Linked DNA regions of Macaca mulatta. The protein of the gene in region 2 binds, or shares a complex with, the protein of the main gene of each other region. Links are inferred from orthologs where the notes say so. Each region holds a gene or a part of one and is shown on either strand. Other genes may lie near its edges.

Evidence for each region.
Region 1: TMEM126B (region 2) and ECSIT share a complex: the UniProt entries of both Homo sapiens proteins name them as parts of the mitochondrial complex. The link is inferred for Macaca mulatta from reciprocal best matches to the Homo sapiens genes TMEM126B and ECSIT.
Region 3: TMEM126B (region 2) and TMEM186 share a complex: the UniProt entries of both Homo sapiens proteins name them as parts of the mitochondrial complex. The link is inferred for Macaca mulatta from reciprocal best matches to the Homo sapiens genes TMEM126B and TMEM186.

The regions. Positions count from the first base shown.
Region 1 is NC_133424.1:12,245,195-12,248,811, forward strand, and holds part of ECSIT (evolutionarily conserved signaling intermediate in Toll pathway, mitochondrial), read right to left. Parts: coding exon 3,500-3,617; intron 2,938-3,499; coding exon 2,714-2,937; intron 1-2,713.
Region 2 is NC_133419.1:86,220,383-86,224,780, forward strand, and holds the start of TMEM126B (complex I assembly factor TMEM126B, mitochondrial), read left to right. Parts: upstream 1-1,503; 5' UTR 1,504-1,509; coding exon 1,510-1,590; intron 1,591-4,398. UniProt on the Homo sapiens protein: As part of the MCIA complex, involved in the assembly of the mitochondrial complex I. Participates in constructing the membrane arm of complex I.
Region 3 is NC_133425.1:10,021,388-10,025,625, reverse strand, and holds TMEM186 (transmembrane protein 186), read left to right. Parts: upstream 1-1,365; 5' UTR 1,366-1,390; coding exon 1,391-1,393; intron 1,394-2,419; coding exon 2,420-3,058; 3' UTR 3,059-3,825; downstream 3,826-4,238. Other genes in the region: PMM2 (phosphomannomutase 2), read right to left, coding at 1,057-1,122. UniProt on the Homo sapiens protein: As part of the MCIA complex, required for efficient assembly of the mitochondrial complex I.

The DNA.
Region 1 (3,617 bases), on a different chromosome or scaffold from region 2:
AAAACAACCCTTCCTCCCACATTCTACTGCTGGTCTCAAGGTGTCTCTCACCGGGACCTACAACCCTGGTCTCCTAGCCCCTCTCCCCGTCCAATATCATCCACACAGCCGCCAGGAGACACGTTTCCAATTGCAGATTCTTCCAGAAACATGATTCCAACCCCATCCCTCTTTTTTCTTTTTTTGAGACAGAGTCTTGCTCTATCGCCCAGGCTGGAGTGCAGTGGCACTATCTTGGCTCACTGCAAACTCTGCCTCCCAGGTTCACGCCATTCTTCTGCCTCAGCCTCCCGAGTAGCTGGGACTACAGGCGCCCGCCACCACACCTGGCTAATTTTTTTGTATTTTTAGTAGAGACAGGGTTTCACTGTGTTAGCCAGAATGGTCTTGATCTCCTGACTTCATGATCCGCCCGCCTCGGCCTCCCAAAGTGCTGGGATTACAGGCGTGAGCCACCGTGCCCAGCCCATCCCTCTTCTTAAATCCCCGCCCCCTGCCCCTGGCATGGCTCTCCCCACCAACCAGGAGGTTTGAGATCAAGCTCTTTAATCAGGTGCCCCCACTCACTGCACCCCATTCCCTGGTACACACTGCTCCCTCTGCCCAGAGTCCTCTGCTCTCCTTACCTCCCCCAGGAAGCCCTACCTGCCCACTCTGGGCTCCCACAGCGCCCCAGGCTTCTCCATCTCAGAACCACTGGCTCTTAAGGAAACTGTTATCCATCCAGGACCAGATGACAAGTGCTGTGAGGGGCTCTCTTTGGATCCCTTATGTGATCTGGCATGAGTGGAGACTCCCAGGACACTGAGATGGGGGTGTTACTCCACTCAGTCATTCAACAAGCCACTACCAAGTGTCAGCTTTGCACCAAATCCTGTGCTCAGCCTTGGGAGACAGGAGGGAGACTGAGTCATGGTGAATAAGGAACCAAGCCCAGCACTGTGAAGGGGTGGTGCCTTGGCCAGGGAGGTCAGGAAGGGCATCCTGATTAGGAATAGTGGAGCTGAGACCGGAATAACATGAAGTCCACGGGGAACAGTGTTCCTGGCAGAAGGAACAGAGAACACAAAGGCCTGTGGTGGGAACTGGCACAGAAAAGAAGGAAGATGTCTAGAAGGTAGCAAGTGTTGGGAGAAGGATGGGAGGGTGCTATGGTCTGAATGTTTATGGCCCCCTGAAATTCATGTTGCAGTGTATCTCCAATGCAATAGGATTAAGAGGTCAGGCCTTTGAGAAGAGAGGCACTTAGATCATAAGGGCTCTGCTCTCATGAATGAGATTAGTTCCCTTATAAAAGAGGTCTGGGCTGGGCATGGTGGCTCATGCGTGTAATCCCAGCACTTTGGGAGGCTGAGGTGGGCAGATCATGAGGTCAGGAGATCGAGACCAGCCTGGCCAACATGGTGAAACCCTGTCTCTACTAAAAATACAAAAATTAGCTGGGCGTGGTGGTGCATGCCTGTAGTGCCAGCTACTCGGGAGGCTGAGGCAGGAGAATTGCTTGAACCAGGGAGTCAGAGTTGCAGTGAGCCAAGATGGCACCACAGCACTCCAGCCTGGCAACAGAGCGAGACTCCGTCTCAAAAAAGAAAACAAATGTCTGAGGGGGCCAGGCATGGTGGCTCATGCTTGCAATCCCAGCACTTTGGGAGGCTAACGCAGGTGGATCGCTTGAGCTCACGAGTTTGAGACCAGCCTGGGCAACGTGGTGGAACCCCATCTCTACAAGAAATACCAAAATTAGCTGGGTGTGGTGGTGTACAACTATAGTCCCAGCTACTCAGGAGGCTGAGGTGAAAGGATGGCTTCAGCCCAGGAGGTGGAATTTGCAGTGAGCCAAGATAGTGCCACTGTGCTCCAGCCTGGGCAATAGAGCCAGACCTTGTCTCAAAAAACAGTAGAGGTCTGAGGGGCTTGTTTGCCTCTTATACTATGTGAGGACACAGCCAGAAGGTGTCATCCTTGAAGCAAGCAGAGAGCAAACCCTGACCAGACCTAGATCTGGTGACACCTTGATCTTGAACTTCCCAGCCTCTAGAACTGTGAGCAATAAATTTTTGTTGTTCATAAATGACCCAAGCTAAGAGATTTTGTTAGAGCAGCCTGAAAGGACTGAAACAGAGGTTACTCAAGCTGTGCCAGCAGTAAGGACCATGGGAACCTACCAGAGGACTCAGCCAGAGAATCAGAACTTAATTCACGGCCAGGCACGGTGCCTCATGCCTGTAATCCCAGCACTTTGGGAGGCCAAGGCAGGAGGATTACTTGAGCCCAGGAGTTCAAGACCAGCCTGGGCAACATAGTGAGACTCTGTCTCTGTAAAAAATACAGTTTTTTTAATTAGCCAGGCGTGGTGGTGTGTGGACTGGACTCCCAGCTACTCAGACTGGAGTCCTAGCTACTCAGGAGGCTGGAGTGAGTAGCTGGACTGTAGTCCCAGCTACTCAGGAGGCTAGACTCCAGCTACTCAATAGACTGGAGTCCCAGCTACTCAGGAGGCTGAGGTGGAAAGATCGCTTGAGCCTGGGAGGCAGAGGCTGCAGTGAGCCGAGTTAGTGCCACTGCACTCCAGCCTGGGCAACAGAGCAAGACCCTGTCTCAAAAAAGAACTTGATTCACCACAGTCACTAGAGTGAGAGAAGGGGAGCTTGGAGGAGGAACGGTGGGAGCCTGACCTGGGGTGGCAGCTGAGGCTGTGGACAAGGGCGGATACCTGGTAGATGGTGACCCTGGCACTAAGGTCAGGCTCCATGTGCCTCAGGCCAAACGTGGCCAGCTCCACCGGGTCCTGGGACAGGTCCCGGGGCACTGGGAAGGGGTTGATGTTCATGAATCGAGGGAACCACAGCTTCAGGCGCAGCAACTTGAGCATGGGGTAGCTTTTGCGTCCAAATATCTGAATCAGCAGGAACTCTGTCTCCTTGTTGGGCATCACACCTGTGCTGGGCAGATGCAGGCAGAACCTCAGAGACGGAGGGGGACGGAGGGAAGGGAAGAGGAGAGAAGAGAACATTGAAGTCAGGGAATTGATCACAGACAGGGAGAAAAGAATCAGAGAGAATTAGAAAGAAAAAGGCTCATGCCTGTAATCCCAGCACACTGGGAGGCCAAGGGGAGAGGATCGCTTGAGCCCAGGAGTTTGAGACCAGCCTGGGCAACATAGCGAGACCCTACTTCTAAAAGAAAGATAGAAAGAGAGGAAGGAAGGGACGGAGGGAGAGAGGGAGAGAGGGAGGGAAGGAAGGAAGGAAGGAAAGCAGGCAGGCAGGCAGGAAGGAAGGAAGGAAGGAAGGAAGGAAGGAAGGAAGGAAGGAAGGAAGGAAAAGTCAGAGGAAGGCAAGAAAGAGAGATGAGTGATGAAAAGATGGATTGGCAGAGGGAGGGGAGCCAGAGAGACAGAGAGGGAGCCATGGAGGAAGGAGGGGCTGAGACCCAGGAGAGGTGTTGCCAGCTATCAGGGTAGCCCACTCCCCACCCCGCGCCAGCCTCCTGGCCTCACCGTGGCTCTCCATCTGCTCCAGGACGGCAATCCCACACTCCTGCTGCCGAGGGTAGTGGACGAAGATGCGCTGGATGACGTTGCGAGGCCGGAAGACCTCTTTGGGGAAGATGTCGAG
Region 2 (4,398 bases):
CAAAAAATACTTTTAAAAACCTCTTTGACTCCAGTCTCTAAAAAGATAGGTGAGTTTGAACAGTTTTCTGTGGCAGAACACACACCGAAAGGCCCCCTTCTATTTACTGATCAGAAGTTCCGGATCTCACCCCCTCAGTAACTCAGAATCCAGCTTGCTGTCACTTTCATTTTTTTCTTCTGTGCTCTCCAAGCCCCCAGGCTTGATCCTTAATGCACCTCTGATTCTGATCCTCCCATGTATTAACAGAGAGGATTGAAAAAAAAGGAAAGCAATCCCTTGGCATGGAGACATTAAAGTGACAGTGCTACTCAATGGGCACTTGATGCAGGATGAGTTGGCGAAGCAGATTTCTTCACACTGGAGTCATTCACATCATGCCATCTCTTCGCATCCAAGCAGCTCCCTATCCGGCGAGGAAAAACACTGAGACTTCGAGAGAAGCCAAACCTTCCCCCAAAGGTGTTTTCAGAGACGCCGTAGTAGTATTAGACATGTAAGCATAAGCTATGCAAACGGTCCGCGATTTCCTCAAAATGAAAAAGTGCAGCTGCTTGGCTTTCACATCCACATCCTTTTCTCTCAATCTCTCTTCAAACTACCCACCTTCCTTTTGCAGAAAAGACAAGACATTTCTCTGCCACCGCTGGCCACCCCTGCCCAAGCCCCGTTCTTTTAGGGAAGAGCACTGAAATGTCCTGCACCCTCCACGCGATGAAGTGTTTCTTCAGGCAGGAGCAACAGCAGCACTAGAAATTATATAACTCTCGAATTTGGCTTCTCTAAGACATGGAGACTGGAGGGTCGGGGGTTGCCGGTCTGGGAGATACTGCTGGGCATTTAACGTGCACAAAACAGCGCCAGGCCTTGCAGTGCCCCCCACCCTGAGACACGACTGACAAGTGGGTCTTCTCGGGGGGTAGTGGGCAAATTTCTCTCCTGTCTCCTTCCAAGCGGGGCTAAAGGATGGAAATTGAGGGGACTACAGACTGGGGAGAGGAGTCAGACGGCTGAGAGGGGAGGAGGCTAGTCGGGGCTGCTCTGACGGCGCTGGGCGGCTGGTTGGGGGTTTGGAGGAGGAGGTGCCCGAGAAACAGAGCTTTAACACCACACGGGCCAGGGCAAAGGGGCGAGTTCCCTCAAGGACTGAAAGGGGCAGGCAGCTAGTTCCCAGCTACCAGAGGTGCCCTGAGGAGAGGCAGGAGCGCAGTAACATTCCAGCATTTGGGCCGCCCCATCCTCTCCGCAAGACGCGAGGAAAACAGGGAGCTAAACTGACAAATAGCAAGGGAAGGAAATACTCTGCTGGCGATGGGGGCGGACCCACAGGCACCTGGACCTCCTCTAAGCGAATAAGTGGCCCTAATTTCTAGACACCGCGCCCAATCACAGACAGGATGGAGGGCGCGGCTTTTGACTGAGGGGGGCGGGCCCGGGCTGCAAGCGAGAGGCATGAGCCGTAAACCCGCCCCACTTCCCGCCCACCAGCAAATCACGTGAGCCATCAAAATGGCGGTGTTCGGGTATGAGGCTGGGGCCAAGCTGAGGGATTCAGGTGTGGTGCCGGTGGTAACTGAGGAAGCGCCCAAGGTAGGCGGAAATCCGAAGTGGTATGGGGGGTGATTTCTGCAGCTTCAGAGTGTTGGCAGAGTCTTCCAAGATGATACACTTAAAGGAGATTTGAAAAGTTAAAACAGCCCCCAAGTCCATGCAAGGAGCAGTCGATTAAGTCTCCAGCTGTTGTGGAAAGAGGCGGAGAGAACGTAGATTACCTAAGTTCTAGTACTCATTATCTGCGGTTTGTTTTCTCTTGTCTCCAGGCCTTTGCACAGGCTTTTTCTTCAACTTGGAATATTTCCCTGCTTCTATCCGTCCCAACTCCCCTGCCAAATTGTTCTCTTTAGGATATTGGTTTAAATGTCACTTCCTCCGGGAAGCCTTCCCACGCCTCCTCTGGCTAGATTAAGTTTGCCTTTTCTTAGGTTGTTGGGTTTTTCGTTTATGTCACTCTCTCATTCTGTGTTTAAATTGCCAGCATTTTTGTTCTGAACTCCCACTACATTGTGGATTCCTGAGGATGGGATGACTGTATCTTGATTACTCGGAGGCCTGGCATATACCAGGTGCTCCCTAAATTATGAGAGAATACTGAATAAAATTCTAAAGTTGAAATTTATTATTAGGTGAAAAATGTATTATTAGGTGAAATAATACACATGAAAGCACTACAAAACCGTTAAATGATTTGCAAACTATAATCCACTCTTACTGGTATAAGCGTGGTGACTAGTTGAGTGGCCTTAAGAGGGGAGGGGTGTAATGAAAGCAGTCGATTCTTTGACAGTGCCTTGCAAAGCTTAAGCACTCAATAATATTTCCTGTGTTCTTTTCAGTATTTGCTATCCTGTAATCATAATCCTGGGTGTCTGCTTTCCCTATAGAGAGTTTAGGGTGTAGACTAGGTAGGAGATTAGTAGAAGATATTGCCTGGAAGTTTATTTTGTTTTTTGTTTTTGGTGGAAGGTGGAGGACTTCAGTGAATTGGATGAGAGCAAAACAAAAATTTATGTAAGGTTTATGGTTACTCATGTTATTGACATCTGCCATCTTAGTACAATAGATGGGTTAGGTATAGAATCTCCCTTAGATGTTACTATCCCTTATACTTTCCATTTGGGTGTCCAGGAGAGGAAAAAGATGTAAGTCTAGTCACTGAAAAATTGTAATTTGTAAAATATTTTACTTTTTTTTCCCCCTGCCCTCTCCAGAAATGTTACAGAAAAAGATTGAGTACAATTCTGCGATGATGCAGAGAAAGAAATTGGTCCATTATTACTCATTGTGTAATGCCATAAGAAGGTTCAAAGAAGCTCATAACTTACGTATGTTGATGCCAGGAGCCGTGTATAATCAACTGGCCCTTCTATAGTTAGGATTGGTACATACCGCTCATTCAGCAAATGAGTATTACGGTAATATTCAATATGTGTCCATTGACTACAGCATCAAAAGCACTCGGTGCTATTAAAATGCAGATTCTAGGCCTCATCCTACTCCTGCTGAATCCAGATATCTCAGGAGGGAGTTCATGAGACTGCATTTCAAATAAATACCCCATGTGATTCTTGTGCATGCTGAAGGTTGAGAACCACTGATTTATGAAGTATTTTGTGTATTCATTATGCTTTATCCCCTCTAATCCTCTTGTCTAGGACTCCTTAACCTTGAGATTTAGTATTTGCCTTCAATATAAACGTTAAAATTGAGATTAGTGTACATTTGTAAAGAGGCTATTTGGCTAATCTGGAGGAAAAAAAGTAAAAAGCAGTGAATTTAGCGGCAATAGACTTTCCACTTGGCTGCTGTAGTAGGTAAACATTTGCAACTACATGTTTGGATTTAACAAATGTTATTAAGACTTTTCACAGAAACTCTAGAGTCTTGCCCAGAGCAAAACATTCAGAAAGGATCCTGTCTGAGAGTGCAGGGTTTGTTTTCTTGTTGTTGTTGATTTGTTTTGTTTTTTAATCTCTCTAGTTTCTGTTAAGATGCTACTGGCCAAGTCTTCATGGTCCCTTGACATTGGCAGCTGTCTGTTCATCACACTTGGGACACAAGAACCTTCCAACCAAGGAGCCCAGTGCTGTGGGTCTCTGGGGCCCGGCGCGGTGGCTCACGCCTTTAATCCCAGCACTTTGGGAGGCCGAGGCAGGCAGATCACTTGAAGTCAGGAGTTCGAGACCAGCCTGGCTAACATAGTGAAACCCCGTCTCTAGTAAAAATACAAAAATTAGCCAGGTGTGGTGGCAGGTGTGGGTCTCTGCTATACTACATAATCATTTCTAGCAAAGGCTCTGCTTCCACCACAGGTGGTAATAGGGAACTGGTTATGTAATTTATGTACTTCAAAGTAGTAGCCACAATCTACTGCCTGTTCCCTTCCTGAAGCAGTGTCCCTCTTTCTGATTTTTCTCTCTCACTGTTCTCCAAGGCAATCCCTGCTCTCTCCTACCTCTCTAGGAAATGAAACACGATTTCCAAAATGAACTCAGTCTTTCATGAGAAACTGAGGATAGAGATGTCAATAAGCAGCCATTGTTTCCACCTCCCCACCTGAAGAGCTAGGAGGACAACTACAAAGGGCCTGACTGCCTTCTCAGAATGAGGAGAGAGGAAAACAGAAACAGTATCAGTATGTTATCCCTCTAAACTAAATCTTAAGCAAGCCAACCTTTCAGACCCTCAGTTTCTCATCTGTATAGAGATAATCATTATACTACCAATTTCTCAAGTTAGTGTGTGAATCAGAAAGCCAATGTCTGTGTGTTGTAGGATGTTTAGCAAGAAAATAAAAAATAATAACAAAAAGCCAATGTCTAACAGATAATAAGAGCTCAG
Region 3 (4,238 bases), on a different chromosome or scaffold from region 2:
TTCAGAATCAGAAAAAGCCTTTGAAGAACTTGGGAGTTGAGTGTCATCACTAGGTAGATCAAACCTGTGGCTGACAAGGGCAAAATGATACGTCTAAGGTCACACGCATTTCACGTGGCTTTCTGGAGCACACCATTGTTACCACCAAGCGAAGACTACGAGGGGTGAGGATATTAGTTGAGGATAGTGAGACCATTGGGGTCCACTCTCAAGTTGAAATGGCCGGTTGTCAGTGGCCAATTTCTGAAAAGGGGACAGGAAAGCCTCATCTCAAGGCTGATAGTGACTGAAACTTATCTGTGCCTGTAGCAGCAAAATCTGGAAGTGGAAAGCAAGTTTCGAAAGGCCCAAAGAGGCTCTCAGCGGGCAGCCTGTAATAACCTAGGGCTCCTCCATCTTCCTAGTCCACTGCAGGGGCTGGAGATGGGTGTGGTGGAGGTGGTTACTATTTACTGAGGCCTAGTGTGCTGTGTGCAACATACTTTCAAGAACTTACACAATCTCATTTGATCCTCACAGTCACCATATGGAACACGTAATATCCCCATTTAAAGCTGTAGATGCTGAGGCTCAGAAAGGTTAATGACTTGCTCAAGGTCACACAGCTGTGAAGAGGTGAAGATGAGACTCCACTAGGTCGATTTCACCTGGAAACCTGTTTTTAATATAATGACTCACGGCACAGCCCATTGGTTACAGGATTGAGGCCGGCAAACAGCTGATAAGGGGCACACAGCTGATGTCGGGTTCAAATCCTGGTCCATCGGTCCCGAGGACTAGCGGTGAGTCCAGATTGCATTTTCCAACCAAGCATAAGTTTCCTTCTCTTAAGAGTTCTTCAGCCCCGTCTCATCTTTCCAAGCATCAGAGCTCTTGAAGAGCTGGTTAGGGCCTCCCTCTCATCCCTCCAGGGCACCTAGAATAGGGTCCAGCCCCCGTGAGGACGCAGGCGGTCCTTAGCCAGCCCTTGGCGCCGACCCTGGGTAGTCGATAGCTCCAACTGGGAACAGCACGGACTCTGAGTCGGCTGCCACCAGCCCGCCGGGCGCCACTTACCTGCCGCGGGGCGGTGAGGGTCCCATCCACGTCGAAGAGGCAGAGCGCTGGGCCAGGAGCTGCCATGTCCCCAGCGTCTAACCGCACCTCGCAAGACTCATTGGCATCAGGAACTCGGCCCGGAACTTCCGAGTTCGGCCCCCGAGCCGCAGGGCACGTCGGGAAGAGGAGGAGACTCCGTTCCCACAACGCCTGGGACTAGCGCCAGCCACGATTCCTGGACCGCAAATCCCAGGGTGCAACGCGGATCACGCCCGCCTTGTACATTCGAGCATGCGCTCTTAGAGGTTCCGGGGGCCGGTGGGACTTACTTCCGGCAGCAGGCTGTGGAGCCATGGTAAGGAGGCTGGTGGCGATCCTTGAGGGGGTGATGCTCTTTGGGGGTCGGTCGGGGTCAGAGCTGGGGCAGGCAGGCACGACGCCTGAGTTTCGGACCTGAAGAATCCGTGGGAGGAAGCTCTGGCGTGGGTTACCATTCGCCATTCCCGGGCTTTCTCTGCCCTCCTTGCGTCACGTGCTCACAGTAGTAATAGCTAAAACTCGCCGAGCTCTCACAGCGCATCAGGTACTAAGTTGAGGGCTTTGAAACCATCTTCTCGTTCACTGTGTTCTGAGTCCCCATTTTGAAAGCCGAAGAAACCGAAGCTCAGGGGTGTGGAGTGATTTGCTCAAGAATCCACAGGTAGTGACTGATGGAGCCAGAATTGGAACCAGAGCTTTTACTGCTTCACTACCCACCTAATAATATGTTTGTGCTACGTGTAGGGGCCTCCCTGCCTCGCTCCTCCTCCTCCTCGTTGTTTCCCCTTCCCCTGACTAGGTTAAGGGAAAGCAGCAGTTCCCTCCAGCACCCAAGATAACGTAAACAGAATTAGAAAGTTTGTTGGGATAACTATCTCACAGATTTGTTGCTTGAGTTCCCCACTAAGACATTGATTATTCAGTTTCCTGCTTGGGGAAATGTTCACACCCCCTTGTGGATCCATTGTCCAGCCCAGAGTTGGGACTCCCTAGATATGTTTTGAATTATTGATGGCCGCACCTCCTTTCTTGTATTTCTTTGGAATTGCCTGATGGAAGGAGGACTCTGCTGCACTCACTGACTGTGTGTTCTTTGGTAAATATCTTACCCTCTCTGGGCTTAGTTTCCCTAGTGGTAAAGTGGAAATAGTGATAACTATCTTAGATAGCTGTTGTGATGCCCACATGAGATAACATCTGGCTTTACCCTTCCCTCCTCTGGCAATAATGGTGACCTTGCAGGATTGGCAGAAGCCTTGGAGTATGGTGCTTTGCAGATGTTCACCGTGTGATTAATGTGGTTGAATTCCATGAGAGAAATCGTCTACTGTCTCCCTTTCAGGCTGCCCTTCTCCGAGTTGTGCCTAGATTTCGGGGAAAAGCTGCGTGGGAAAGGCCTCTCCATGGGTTGTGGTGCTGCAGTGGGCAGGAGGATCCTAAGAGGTGGGTGGGGAGCAGGTCACCCACCTCGAAGGAGAAACCACCAAACCAAGAGACTGAGAAATTCTGGATGTTTTACCGTTTTGATGCCATCAGAATCTTTGGGTTCCTGTCTCGACTGAAGTTGGCACAGACTGCCCTGACAGTGGTAGTTTTGCCACCAGCCTGTTACTGGTATTCCCAGGGCCTCCTGACTCTCAACACCGTGTGCCTGATGAGTGGGATATCGGGCTTTGCCCTGACCATGCTGTGCTGGATGAGCTATTTCTTTCGGAGACTGGTTGGTATCCTGTATCTGAATGAGTCTGGCACCATGCTGCGGGTGGCCCATCTGAGCTTCTGGGGCTGGCGGCAGGACACATACTGTCCCCTGGCAGATGTGATTCCCCTGACAGAAACCAAGGACCAGCCTCAGGAGATGTTCATGCGTATCCAGCGGTACAGCGGGAAACAGACCTTCTACGTCACCCTGCGCTATGGACACATCCTGGACAGAGAGCGTTTCACGCAGGTGTTTGGGAGACATCAGATGTTCAAGTAAACAACTGGGGCCTGGACCTCTGGGTAACCCTGGGTCACCTGGATTGACAGGAAGGCTGAGGGTGTGGGCACAGCTGAAGAAAGGGGATTGGGTACTTGGAGACTTTGCCTGGGCCCCTGGGAACATGTGTTTTGTGATGAAGAAATTCACAAGGCAAGAGCTGGTGTCCAGGTTTAGGAAAAAGGCTCTAAGCAAGTTCTTACAGCACTCGTGTGTGACATTCAGTCAGATAACGGCCAGAAGTTTTTGTTAAGAGCCAGTTCTTAGAAGAACCTATGCCAGGGTCACCCAGACAGTCCATTGGTGTGAAATTGAAAGGCAAAGAGGTGTGGTGGGGGAGCATAGGATTTGGAGTCAGAAGTCTCAGTTCTGTCACTTGTCCTGGGGTGGGTTATTGAGTCTCTTTGAACCTTGGTTTTCACATCTGTAAAATGGAAAGCCCTGCTTGTTTCGTGGGATGGATGTGGGAATAAATGTCAAACGTGTGGCAGACTCAGCAGCCTAGAGCAGATAGCATTAAGCATTTGGTCAGAGGTTTTGGCATGGAGAAAGGCTTCGAGCAGTCAGCAGGGACTTCCAGAGCCCTGTGCTGTGCCCCTCACACATCCAGCAGCAGAAAGGTCTGCCAGGATGTTAACTACACATCGATGAGCAGCGATGTCGTCCAAGTGAGCACGAAACCCCATTTGAGATTTGTTCACCACGCTGAGATCTAGAGGCTCTTGCTTTGGATGGCCCTGCAGTGTAATAAAGCCTAATGGACCGTATGCTGGTACGTTCTTTTATAAACTAAAGCCAGTTATATGCATTGCCCTGCATAATTAATAATACATGTTCATTATGCAATTTGTAACACAGTAAAGAGGAAGGAAGGCATGATCTTTATTATTTTGCCACTCGAAAGTCAATAAGAATGTTTTATTGCCGGGCGCGGTGGCTCACACCTGTAATCCCAGCACTTTGGGAGGCTGAGGCGGGTGGATCACGAGGTCAGGAGATCGAGACCATCCTGGCTAATGGTGAAACCCCGTCTCCACTAAAAAATACAAAAAAAAATTAGCCGAGTGTAGTGGCAGGCACCTGTAGTCCCAGCTACTCGGGAGGCTGAGGCCGGAGAATGGCATGAACCTGGGAGGCGGAGCTTGCAATGAGCCGAGATCGCGCCACTGCACTCCATCCT